Linked DNA regions of Canis lupus familiaris. The protein of the gene in region 2 purifies or fractionates together with the protein of the main gene of each other region. This does not show direct contact. Links are inferred from orthologs where the notes say so. Each region holds a gene or a part of one and is shown on either strand. Other genes may lie near its edges.

Evidence for each region.
Region 1: the proteins of SMNDC1 (region 2) and SF3A1 purify together in Homo sapiens (affinity purification with mass spectrometry; 3 studies listed by BioGRID and IntAct, with this or other methods). This does not show direct contact. The link is inferred for Canis lupus familiaris from reciprocal best matches to the Homo sapiens genes SMNDC1 and SF3A1.
Region 3: the proteins of SMNDC1 (region 2) and SF3B2 purify together in Homo sapiens (affinity purification with mass spectrometry; 3 studies listed by BioGRID and IntAct, with this or other methods). This does not show direct contact. The link is inferred for Canis lupus familiaris from reciprocal best matches to the Homo sapiens genes SMNDC1 and SF3B2.

The regions. Positions count from the first base shown.
Region 1 is NC_049247.1:23,899,396-23,903,330, forward strand, and holds part of SF3A1 (splicing factor 3A subunit 1), read right to left. Parts: intron 2,920-3,935; coding exon 2,845-2,919; intron 2,115-2,844; coding exon 1,964-2,114; intron 1,643-1,963; coding exon 1,449-1,642; intron 563-1,448; coding exon 445-562; intron 165-444; coding exon 1-164. UniProt on the Homo sapiens protein: Component of the 17S U2 SnRNP complex of the spliceosome, a large ribonucleoprotein complex that removes introns from transcribed pre-mRNAs.
Region 2 is NC_049249.1:21,895,136-21,899,170, forward strand, and holds the start of SMNDC1 (survival of motor neuron-related-splicing factor 30), read right to left. Parts: upstream 2,489-4,035; 5' UTR 2,252-2,488; coding exon 2,243-2,251; intron 1,573-2,242; exon of another isoform or gene 1,567-1,572; coding exon 1,447-1,566; intron 1-1,446. UniProt on the Homo sapiens protein: Involved in spliceosome assembly.
Region 3 is NC_049239.1:51,712,601-51,716,635, forward strand, and holds the start of SF3B2 (splicing factor 3B subunit 2), read right to left. Parts: upstream 2,401-4,035; 5' UTR 2,355-2,400; coding exon 2,222-2,354; intron 2,043-2,221; coding exon 1,996-2,042; intron 1,719-1,995; coding exon 1,641-1,718; intron 915-1,640; coding exon 666-914; intron 450-665; coding exon 399-449; intron 1-398. UniProt on the Homo sapiens protein: Component of the 17S U2 SnRNP complex of the spliceosome, a large ribonucleoprotein complex that removes introns from transcribed pre-mRNAs.

The DNA.
Region 1 (3,935 bases), on a different chromosome or scaffold from region 2:
ACTCTGCTTCTCACGGATGGAGCGGTCTCGCTGCTCTAGCCAGCGGGGATCAAGGAGTCCGATGCGCATATGTTCCTGCATTTTGCTGGCAGGGATCTTCTCCCCCGTGATAGGAGACACAAGATATTCATCTGGAGCAGGAGCTGGAGGCAGGGGCTTGGAAGCTAAAAGGAAACAGAGATGCCTGAATGAGAACACTGGAAAGTAGTCAGGGTCAAGACTGTTGTTTCATTTACACATCACTCATCTGAGACACATCCATTTAGTGCCATGCTATACCTGGTACTGTGCAAGGCACTTCGGCACCAGAGATGACTCAGCTCTGTTCCCCACCGCTAGGCCTGCGAAGGATGGGTTATCAATGCCTTCGAGACAAGCCACCTCACTCTCTCCTAGAAACAGATAGCTCTGGGGAACGTTTGAAGGCAGGAATGCAGGCCCTACCTTTGGGGTCATAGTCCTTCCGAACAATGACCTGGTCTGGAGTTGGGGGCAGAGGAGGCGGCATCGGTGTCTCTGGGGGTGGGGGCACTTTCTGCCCTTCTTCTTCATCATCTGAACCCTGAAAAGCAAAGCAATGGTAGGACTCAGAGAATGGCTGACAGGCCACCTCCCTGAAGCTAAGCCCTGATGGCTCTCAGGGTGGCAAGGAACTTAGGTCTTTGCCAGCCAGCATCTATGTGCTAAGCCTCTGGGGGCAGCCGAGGCCAGCCGGCAGCTGGCCAAGCTGTTTCCTCACAACATGAATGGGAGTGCTGGGGGCCGTGGTGCTAACACTCCGCCCAGGCATTTCCAGCAGCTGGCACCAGGCAGTCCCAGGAGACCAAGGGCACTTAAACATGCTGGGGAGGGAGGGTGCGGGGGGCAAGTCAGTGCTCAATGGTAGCTACTCATGGAGCAATGCTGGGAGGGAGAGAAAAAGTTAATTCCCACAGACACAGGGGCCTTTCTTCTCACACACAATTTCTTTCCAAGAGGAGGAGAGCAGCTTGGCTCCGGAGACTCTATGCCTGCCTGGGGCGGGAGGGGGGGTAGGGGTGGTAGAGGCGGCCGAAAAGAAGCACAGTCTACACTGAGAAAAGCTCTGGGAACCACTAATCATCTGGGCCTAGGCTCAAATGCATCAAAGCATGTGGCAAAAAGTGTTCCCTTACTGAGAGCTGGCATGGGGGCAGGGGAGAATAGGGCCTCTGGGCCAAGGGGGGAAGGTCACAGAACAGAGCCAGCACAGCTTTTAGATCCTTGCCTGTGAATGAATCTTTGTTGCCAGAGCTAGAAAGAGGCTCTATGCTGCCTGGGTTTGGGCAGCTGCTCAGCTGGGATCCCTTTTCGGGACCCATGCCTCCTTTCAAGGTTCATAAGGGAGCTGGATCTGACTTGTGGAAAGCACCATCTCCTTAAGCTCCAGAGGGAAAGGCCAGCTTGCAGGACCTCCCAGGAGCATATACCTCATCCATATCTTGCACTTGAGTATCCTGGTCCAACTGGGAAGGAGGCTCCTCTGCCTTCTCCTGTTTCTCATCCTCTTCATCAGACTCGACCTCCATTTCAACCTCTTCACTTTCCCCAAACTTCTCATAGCGCTCCTGAATGAGGATTCGGGCCCCCAGCTCCTCCGGGGTGGTGGGGGGAGGGAAATTCCCTGGTAGAGGGTGATTCAGAGTCAAAGGCAACCTCCACAGACAATCCTTAGCAAAGACCCATCAGTCTGCCCTCCCCACACTGTAAGCTCTCCAAGGGCCCGATTTCTCTCCCAGCTCCAGACGTCCACCCAACATCTGGCACGATGTTTGCTCTATTGGATTTAAGTGGGGGCAATGTGGCAAATTTGAAGGATTCTGATAGCAGAGATGAAACAGACAGATAAAACTCTCTGCGGGACTGTGCTGCTCCCTGGGAAAAGATGTATACCTGAGATGTTCCAGGATGGCTCCTGGCTACTCATCTGGAGTCACAGATCTACCTTGTTCATTGGGTTGGAAGTCCACGGTTTCCACCACCACAAAATCATGCCAGTCGATCTGTGCATAAGCCACCCGTTCCTTCTCCTTTTCCTCCTCTTCCTTCTTCCTCTCTCGCTCCTGGAACTTGGCCCACTCCACCCGGTAACACACCTGAAGAGACAGAAATGGCATGATGCTAAGCTGATCAGGGTCTGCTGCTGATGGGGCGGTCACCTCCAGGCCCTTCACCAAATCCAGCATCTCCTTTGAAACAGGAGGCTGTTCTGTCTACAGGGAGAACTTCCGGAGTAAACGCTGGTATTTGCATTTGGTTTCAGTCAGACCCATAGATTGGAAAGAATAAAAATTCTAAATGTCACAGAAACCTTGTGTCTGGGCCCCAAGGGCAGCCATTTGTTATAACCTCAGTTTTCTGCTTGAGTTGGCAAGGAGGTCTATGCTCACAGAGCAGCAAACTCTGTCCCAGGAAGTGTATGTGACAACACATACCCACAAGAGAAGCAGCAATCTGAGAACCTGAGAAACAAAGGCTTCATGCAGCCACCCAGAACAGGCAGCACCAATATGCCTTCTCTCTCCTTGACTCTGAAAACTTGGGGCAGCAAAAGGCATTTGTCACCAGCAAGCCTATTCAGGAGTTGGCTTCTAATCATCTAATCTAATAATCAGTTGGCTTCTAGTGAGGACAGAAAAGAGGAAGATCCAGTAAAGCTGAGAGAAAGTAGAAAGAGAGCAGAGTCCAGGGTTCTTCAGCCTTTGTGGCCATAAGGCCTTTCTTCCCACCACTCCTGTGCCTGAACTGAATAAGGTCCCACCTCAGAGCCTTATTCCAAGTATGAAACAACCCACACCACCACTAACTAGTTATAATTCAGTTTACCTGGTCCAAAACTTCTCGGGGGTTCTCCGCCTCTTTCTTGAGCTTTGTAAATAAGCCTTTAGGGGGAATCAAGATCTGCAATATGAAGAGTTAAAGCAGGTGTCAGTGCCACACAATACAGGACAAACAAGTGGCCTTCCGGGACCTGTAGAAAGGCACAGGAAAAGTGAGAGGATGGGGTTCCAGGTCCCAATTCCAGCTCCACTTTGCTGTGTGACTTTGGACAAGTTACTTAACCTCTGTAACTTGGCTGCCTTCTATAAATAGTGACACCACCACTTAAAGCTGGCAGAGTCAACTTAAAAAACTGTTGCAAGGATCGGCAGGAAAATAGGCAAAAGCACTGCTCATCACTCAGCATATAGTGTACATGTGCTGGCTGGTCTCAGGGCACAGGGCTGTTCCTACCCTTTTGCACATGCTCCCCTGACAACCCGGACTCCAGACTGCCGCCTACAGACTTCATCTCCTACATTCCGTCCCCTGCTTTCTATTCTCTGTAGTATTTATTACCATCGGACATCCACTGACGTTGCACTTGCTTGTCCCCCTCACTGGAACAGAAACTACACAAAAACAGAGATTTCTATCTTTATTTTTTATTTTTTTTTTTTTGAGATTTCTATCTTTAGTTTACTATTTTATGTCTAGCATTTGAAATAAAGTCTGACAACGAACATATATTTGATGAGACAACGAATGATGGCTTTGTTCAAAACAGCATAAATTCCCAATAGTATTTATTGTCACTAGTAAAGTGGGTTCAGCCCCACTCTATCCTCCCTATACCTCTACCTCATGAATAAATCTATTCCTATGGTCTCCAATGACCAGAGACAGACACCAGTGACCTCAGGTTAAAATGCTAATGTTAATACCCAAATCTTGAAAAAGAAGAACAGGAAAATAACAGAATAAAAAGGAATCTCGAGACCTTCAACCCTGGAAGTAGTACACAAAGGAAAAATAACACAGGGCTTAATTAAAATTGCTCCTGGATAACTAATTACACAAAACCTTTGGCTTTCATGATTGTTGTTTTAGCTATTCCACCACCATTTTTGGATTTGATCATTTTCCAAACACATGCA
Region 2 (4,035 bases):
AGGAAGCAAAATACACAATATCAACAATGTTTTATTTTCTTCAAAGAAAAAAAAAGGACCACTTTTAAGCTGGTAAGTGATACATTCCAGGATCTCTCTTTGAGGTAGGCAGAACGTTGCCCTGGAAGTGGGAGAAACTGCTCCCAAAACATCTTTTGTATTGACTAGCACTCTCACATTCACTGGCCTGACTTCTAAATACTGAAGAGGGATCCTGTTTTCTGTGTTTTTAAAAACTATATATTACTGCAACCTTAGGCATGTTTATCCTAAATCCATAATTTGAACCTAAAAATTTTCAACTCATTTTAATTATGCCCAGATAAACTTTTTCAAAGTCCTGTATTTGGACCCCATTTCAAAGAAGTTTCATTTATTTTCAGTTCTGATATCCCTAAAATATTCATTTTAATGGGCAAGAGAATGATAAAAGGAGGAAAAGGATTTAGATAGGATAAAGATGATTCTAGTTTTGTACTGAATCAGTAAAGGAAGATCATCTAGTAAAAAAACATCTTTTAAAACTTTCAAAAAAAAAATCAGGTTCAAAATTTTATTCTCAAATTTTTAAAAATAAAGTTCTATACATATGCATGTGTATATATACACACATAGGATTTTCACTAATCAACCTAATGTTCTGAGAAACAATAGATATTTACTATAATGATTTTCATTTTGTCTTGAAACCCCAGTGCAGGTTTTCAAAAGCCAAGTTTTATTCCTACTGAACTTTCCCATGACAGACAAAACAGATCTTTCCACATCCACTCAATTTCAACAAGTATCAACAACTACACTGTAAAATCTAGCCTTAAATTCAAACATTATGTAACATTTATGCAGAAACCAAGTATCTCTTTAGATATTCTTATGTTTTCAATACAAGTTGTTTACCTGCTAGCTTTGAAACACACACACACATTCTCATTTCTGTTTCAAAGAATCTTGTAACATTAAAAAAAATCTTAATCAGGTTACATTTTTCTCATTGTTTTTTATCATTTATAAAACGCTTCCACATTCTTTTAATTCCAGTATAGTTAACATTTTTTAAATTCCTCATATTTTTCTTTTAGTTACCTTTTGAACTAAATTTCCTTTGCCAGATCTTTAAAAATAAAAGCATTTTCTACTGTAAAGTTAAATGTACCTCTTCTCTAAAAGGTTTGACAAAATTCTAAAACCAACTCTTTTAAGTTAAATCAACACACAAGATTTACATAACAGAACAACGCTTTACTCATTTTGAGGTCTGTAACAGAGGAAGCAACCCTACTTCTATGAGCCATAAATGCCTATGTACATACACACATGTACACACAAGGGAGAGTAGGAGAGGAAATATCCCCCTCCAAATGGTGCTTTGGATTCTAAGTAATAAGATCATTTGAAAAAGAATAGTTTTTCCAAGCAATGTAACTATTAGTGTCCTCTTATACTTACCTGTAAGTCTTTCTTTAATTTTAGCAAATCTTCATTTTCTCCATTTCCAGACAATGCAGCTTCAACTTGCTGGAGTTGAGCTTTGTAGCTTGCCAACTGCTTTGCTAGATCTTCTGACATCTGGGGAAAATAAAAGAGTAAGATCATGAAAACTGAACCAAAAGCACCATAAAAAAAAAATAATAATTTCCCTGTCTGCCTGCCTTCATCCTTACCAGTTTTGCTCCTCAATGTAATTCATTGTTGCAGCTTAACTTATTACCATTACCTTTACTCTTAATTATGAGAAGAGCTGGGAGTCAAACCCAAGCTTCAGGGCAATGGATTCCACAGTTTATAAACACGTCCAATAAATTCCACACAGAAACAGAAAACAAGAGCTAAGACAAAAGGGAGAAGGATAATTTCCAATTTTCTTTAAACTTCTGTAACAGGGAGGACACTCTATTTGGCTCTTTTATGTTTGTTTGTTTGGTGTTACAGCTTTACCAAAAAAAAAAAAAAAAAAAGAAAAAGAAAAGAAAAAAAAAAGCACTAATCTGTTGAAGAGTGGAGACTTGATAAAGTGTTTTTAAGCACTCAATACTACATCCAAAACAAAACAGAAATGGCTTTTGGATTAACTACATAAATAATACTCCCTCCGTGAGATAGGAGTGTGTTTAGAACCTCTCTCCAGAGCAAAAAAATGTTTCACCCGGTCACTTAAATATCGCCGATGCAGCTCCTTCACTAAAGAAACGGCACGAACACGGTCCCGCTTAGGCTTTCTAAGGAGCGTGCCTTTTTCACCCACCGGGCTCATTCTCCTCCGGAAAATACGACACGAGAATCCCTTCTCGGTGCATAAAGCAATCACGCGGGGTTTCCGAGGACCCTTGCCTTCCAGTTCCCGTCCAGCACAGCCTGGAATCTGGAAGGGCTCCAAAGGGGCGAGAGCAAGCCCGCCACAACCGCTCGAGGACTTCAGACCTCCAAATCCAAACACAAGCTCCAGGGAAACCGAAAACACAACCGGAGCGGCCCCCGGCGGCGCCGGAGCCTCCTACCCGCAAGGCGCCCCGCAGGAAGGCTGAGGGCGTCCTCCGGAGGCCTCCCGCGTCCCCACCCCACCCGACCGGCTCCCCGCTTGGCCCCCGTCGCCGCCGCCGCACGCAGCTCCCAGCCCGGCCCAGCCCGGCCCAACCCCGGGTGGGAGGGGGGCCGGGCCCCTGGGATTCTAGCCGGCTGCCCAAGCCTCTCCGGCGCGGCCCGCCCGCTCCCCGGCCTCAGGCCTCTGCTCCGACCCGAGGCCCAGGCCCGGCGAGGCCCTGCTCTCTTCCCTCATCGGCTTCGTTACCTTGGGTGGGGCTGGGGGCAGGGCGCAGGAGAGGGTCGGGGCAAAGGAGCCCAGTGGTGGTGGCGGCGGCGACGGCGGCGGCAGCAGCAGGAAAAAAAAAAAAAATCTCCGCGGCAACAACAAGGCGACTCGGTCTGAAAAGGAAGAACTTGGTCAGCGACGAGGGGGAGGGGAAAAAGCCGGGCACTAGAAGGAGGAAAAGACAGAACGGATCAAGCCTCGCGAGAGGTTAAAAGCCTCGCGAGACGTCACCTCCTCACGTGATTCCCAGCTTTCTCTGCGCCGCCCACCTTTACTCGCGTTAGAGACGCGGAGTGGGCGGAGCTTCGCAGAAAGGAAATGGCGTAGCTTGGCTGCGCCAGGCGCCGGATGTAGGTTTGTCTCATCCTAATTTCTGCTGCGCGTGCAGAGTCCTTGGCTTATTTAGGAGTAGGTACCGGTGCGCCCTTCCTGAAGTTCCCGAGAGGATAATCGCGTGTGCCTTCTTAGACGAGTGGTGCTGGGAGGTGGGAGGGACGGAGTTTAGCGCAGCGTGCATGGTGGCGGTTGGGTCGCAAAGTGTGGTCCCCGCAACCTCCGCATCGTGTCTGGTAACTTATTACGAGCGCGGAGTCTCAGCGCCCGCCCCAGACTTCCTGAATTAGAAATCCGAGGGGTCTCAGCAGCCTGTTTTAACAAGCGCTCCAGGTGATACCAGCGTCCGCTCAAGCCTCAGAGCCATCGCATTATATGATAATAAGGCTCAGTAACAACAAAAAGCTAATTAAGTTGTGGCAGGACCTATTGGAGAGAAGGTTGATTGATTTAAAACCTATTTTGTTTGAACTGACTTGCTTTTAATAGATTACATAGGGGGACGCAAGGGTGGCTCAGCGGCTGGGCGTCTGCCTTCAGCCCAGGGCGTGATCCTGGAGTCCCGGGATCGAGTCCCGCGTCGGGCTCCCGGTGCATGGAGCCTGCTTCTCCCTCTGCCTGTGTCTCTGCCTCTCTCTCTCTCTCTGTCTCTTGAATGAGTAAATAAATAAATAATGTAGGTTAATCTCGCGGGATAGGGGGCAATCTCCCAAGTTCTTGTCTTTTTTTAATAATAGATTTATTTTTTATTGGTGTTCAATTTGCCAACATACAGAATAACACCCAGTGTTCATCCCGTCAAGTGCCCCCCTCAGTGCCCCCCACCCAGTCACCCCACCCCCCGCCCCCCTCCCCTTCCACCACCCCTAGTTCAAGTTCTTGTCTTGAATGGTAAG
Region 3 (4,035 bases), on a different chromosome or scaffold from region 2:
CACATTTAGTCTAAATCCCACACAATTGACTAATCCAGAGTCCTCTCATAGGTATCTAAAATCATATAAGACTAATACGAATTATCAGACTTTTTCAGTAATGGGCTAAACAACAGATATCTTAGACTTTATGGGCCATTGCAAGGGTTGCAGTATGTTCTTGGTTTGCCAATTTTTTTTTTCCTAACAATCCTCCAAAGTTAGAAACACCATTCTTAACTTGCAGGCCATACAAAATCAGGTCACAGTCTGTAGTTTACCAATCTGGGCTCCAGAAAAGATGGGATTATCTGGGAGATACTGGAACTTAAGGATGAGGTAACCTCCATGGAAAACTTGAATGGAGCATCTTGTTTTGGACACTAGTACTAGAAGTGACAGCCAATGGAGGGAATTACCCGCTTCTGCTGCTCCAAAAGCTCATGTTCCTTCAGTGAATGATCTCCCTGCTTAAAAAAGAAAACAAACTCACATCAGCACCACTACCCCTCAGGCCAGGCTGCCACAACACTGCTTCTGGGGGTCCTCTTTCAGCCTGGGGTCTATGTTCCAGTCGTTGGTCCAGACTTCCCAGAAGGCTTGGCCCCAGGATCCAGCTTTCTCTAAGGCTTCAATCCTCTTTAGGACCCTGATGAGACCTATGCCCAACCTGCCACCTCCCCTACCTGTTTGGCACGCTCCTCTTGCTGCATCAGCAATGCTGCCTGTTGCTGCGCCAGCTTCAGCCGCTCCTCCTCTGACAGAGCCACAGGCTCACCCACGCGGAGAGGAGGAGGTGGCCCCAAGTTTGGTGGGCGGGGACCAACTGCCATAGGAAAGCCAAGGCCAAGGCCTGGTGGAGGTGGTGGGGGTGGTGGAGGTGGTTGCAGAGGGGGGAGTCCCATGGGTGGTGGTGGCATGGGAATCCCAGAAAGCTGTGGAAAAAAAGTCAACATACACTAGGAACCGTTTATCTACTGCAGACATTTGCAGGTACTATGAGCCAGGTACTAAAATTCAAAGTCAAGTGACAATTCCTGCATTCAAAAAAATATAATACCGATAGAAGAGAATACTAACTTTGGGGTACCAACCAAGGAAAGCTATTGACTCTCTCCCCAGAAAACCATGAACACAGATTGTGCATACAATTTCAGGAAATCCAAGGACACCTCTAATGGCCACCTGGGAACTCCTCCTCCCACCCACAGAAGTCAATAGATCCCAGATCAGAGTCTTGTCCTAGAGAAAAATTCAAATCCTGGCTCAGAAAGGAAATGGAAGTTAAGAAGACTTAAATAAACTGGAGCCAGTGTGTCCCAATGGCTCACTAAATATAAAAGGTATGAAATAAAATAAGAGAGTGAGCCATAATGTCTCACTGAACAAAATGAGAACTGTGCCTGGTAAGGCAAAAAAGAGCTATTTCCAGCTGAAGGAGAATCAAGTCAGGCTTCTAAATTACTTAAGCTAAACCTTAAATGACAGGTAGTATTTGGAGAAGCAGACACTGGGTAAGGAGGTAAGGATCAGGACTAAAGGGGAACTGAAGAGCTCCCATTTCTCCCTGTCCAATCTGTTAGTGGCATCCCCAAAACACTGACTGTGAGAGGAGCTGCCCTGAACAGAAGTCATCTTATAAAGTAGAACCACCTCCTTACCTGTGCGGACATGGGAGGGGGAGCAGCTTTGTCCCCATCTTCACCTCTCAGAACTGGGCGATTCAGCACGATGCCTGTCTGCAAAAGAGAAAGGACTCCAGGTCAGTCCAAGAGGAGCTGTTCCACAAAACGTCATTGCTCCCATTCATTCAACAAAATTTACCAACTGCCCATTTGCCAGAGCTTGCGCTAGGCACTGCAGAAGACCTATATATACAGAAATGTTTACAACTGGTCAGGTAATGTAAAAAAACAAGCAGAAACAGCAAGGTACATAAAAAGCTAAGACCGAGTCCTGAGGGCTCATTGAGGCCTTCAGAAACTCGGCCTATCCTGACGTCCCGCCAACACTTACCTGGCGCGTGTAGGTCTGCAGCCGCTCCACCAGCTCCTCGCGACTCCCTGATGGGCAAAGCACAAGATCAACGGGGTAAGTCAGGCCGAGCAGGCCTGCGGGACCAAGCCAGGCCCCAGCGGTCCGCCTCCGCCCCTCCCTCCGCCCCCCGGGTCTCCGGGGTAACCAGGCTCCGCTTCTCCCTGGGCCTACGCTGCCCCGGCCCTTGACCTCCCGAGCTCCTCACCCTGGATCGGAGCTCCAATCTCCGCCAATTTGGCCTGAAGCTCCTGGGCAGCCCAAGCGCCATAGTGACCGGGAGGTGGCGGCGGCGGCAGCTGCAACTCTCCTTTGGGAGGCTCGGGATGCTCGGCCGCCATCTTAGCCGCAGGAAGGCGCGCGACCAACGCGGAAGTCCGGACCGGACCTGGGGCCCACTTGCCGGAACTTCCGGCAGCGCCGTACGCCACGTCCGCTGGAGGATTGGCAGGCGGTTCACATTGCGGCCCAGACCCTGCGGATCTCCAAGCGTCCCCAGGATGCCAGGCCGCGAAGCCTTCTGGGAGTTGTAGTACGCAGGTCCCGTTCTCTGCGGGTCCGGCTCCCGGAGCACAGTGCCGGGCTGAAGCACCGGCAACACTGGAGGCTGGAGCAGGGGCGGGGCTGCGGGGCAAGATGGTCCCGCCAGAAAGGCGTCCTTTCTGCGTCTGCCTCGCCGGAGCGCAGATCTCCAGCCTTCCGACCAGACTTTCAGCTCAGGCGTGAGAGGCCCGGACGCTTTCGTTCCTCAGGGAGGCCTGAAGGACTCATTCTGCCAGCGGCCGCGCGTTGTGGGCGCCAAGCGGGAGGTTGCAGCCGATGCCTGTGATAAAACAGTATCTGATTGTCTGCCCGCCCACCCCCGGCCCACGCATGGATGAATGGGCTGAAAGAGGATCGGAGCCAGGAGGGGAGCGGGCTGAGCTCCAGCTGCCGACCTGGGGGGAAGGGCCACACTAAAGCCCCTTTTTCCACCTATCAGGCCGGCTCAGATGTCTCCGCTAGCCTTTCTCCCGCTTTCCTTTCCTTCCTTGGAGTTCCCGTAACACGTACAAACATCTACCATTTGTTTTAAACTCTTTCTTGCCCCTTTGCCCCACCTCCCCAAGAACGTGCACAGGGGACCTGGTCTTTTTACTGTCCGGCAGCACCTGGCGTTCAAGAGGCGCTCAGTAATGATTAATGGGGAAAACAAACGAAACGATCTTTCGGGCGACAGGATGCATCTTTTTTAGTCCCAAAAATGAGCTCAGGACTTTTTCTCCCCTTATCCCCACCAGCCTACTGGCAGAGTCGACGCTGCCTTCCTTGCCCCAACAGCACCAGCAGCACCAGCAACCGCCTGTGCACCTGAGGGAGGGATGAGCAGATGTTCCCTGCTTGTGTAGCTTCCATCTCTCTCTATCCTGACCCATCAATTCAGTTTCTCTTCCCATCTCTGCCACTAGCTCTGAGATCCTCTTCCCATTCTAGCCCTGTCCTCTCACTGGCAGGCTCATTGCCTCTGTGTGTGTGTGTGTGTGTGTGTGTGTGTGTGTGTTGAGTGAGAGCTGGGAAATTCAAGTAAAGTGGTCTCATTTTCCTGACACCCACACACACACACACACACCCTTCATATCTTCTTTCTAGCATGCTCCATTTCACTGACTGCCTTCCAAAGAGAAGTAGCTGAGAGCACGGGAAAAATAATGGGATGCCAGGTCCAGGATAGATATGTTTATGAGAAACAAAAACAGACTGGGCCAGGAAGGTTGCTCACATCATAATCCTAAATAGGAAATTCTTTCCTCTTGCCCAAGCCTGCTTCCTCTTTCCATCACCACCACCATCTGAGTCTCCTGACACTCCCAAAGGAGAAGCCAAACCCAGAAAGAACAGAAGAAATCGCAATGATGCCCTCCCTTCCAGCTTGTCAGCACACTCAGGAAGAACCATTCCTGACCCAAAGGAAGCATTTTTCTGCTCCCTGTAACTGGAGAGATCCTGGCAGGTCATCTGAGGCTGGAGCGCCCTAGGCATGTG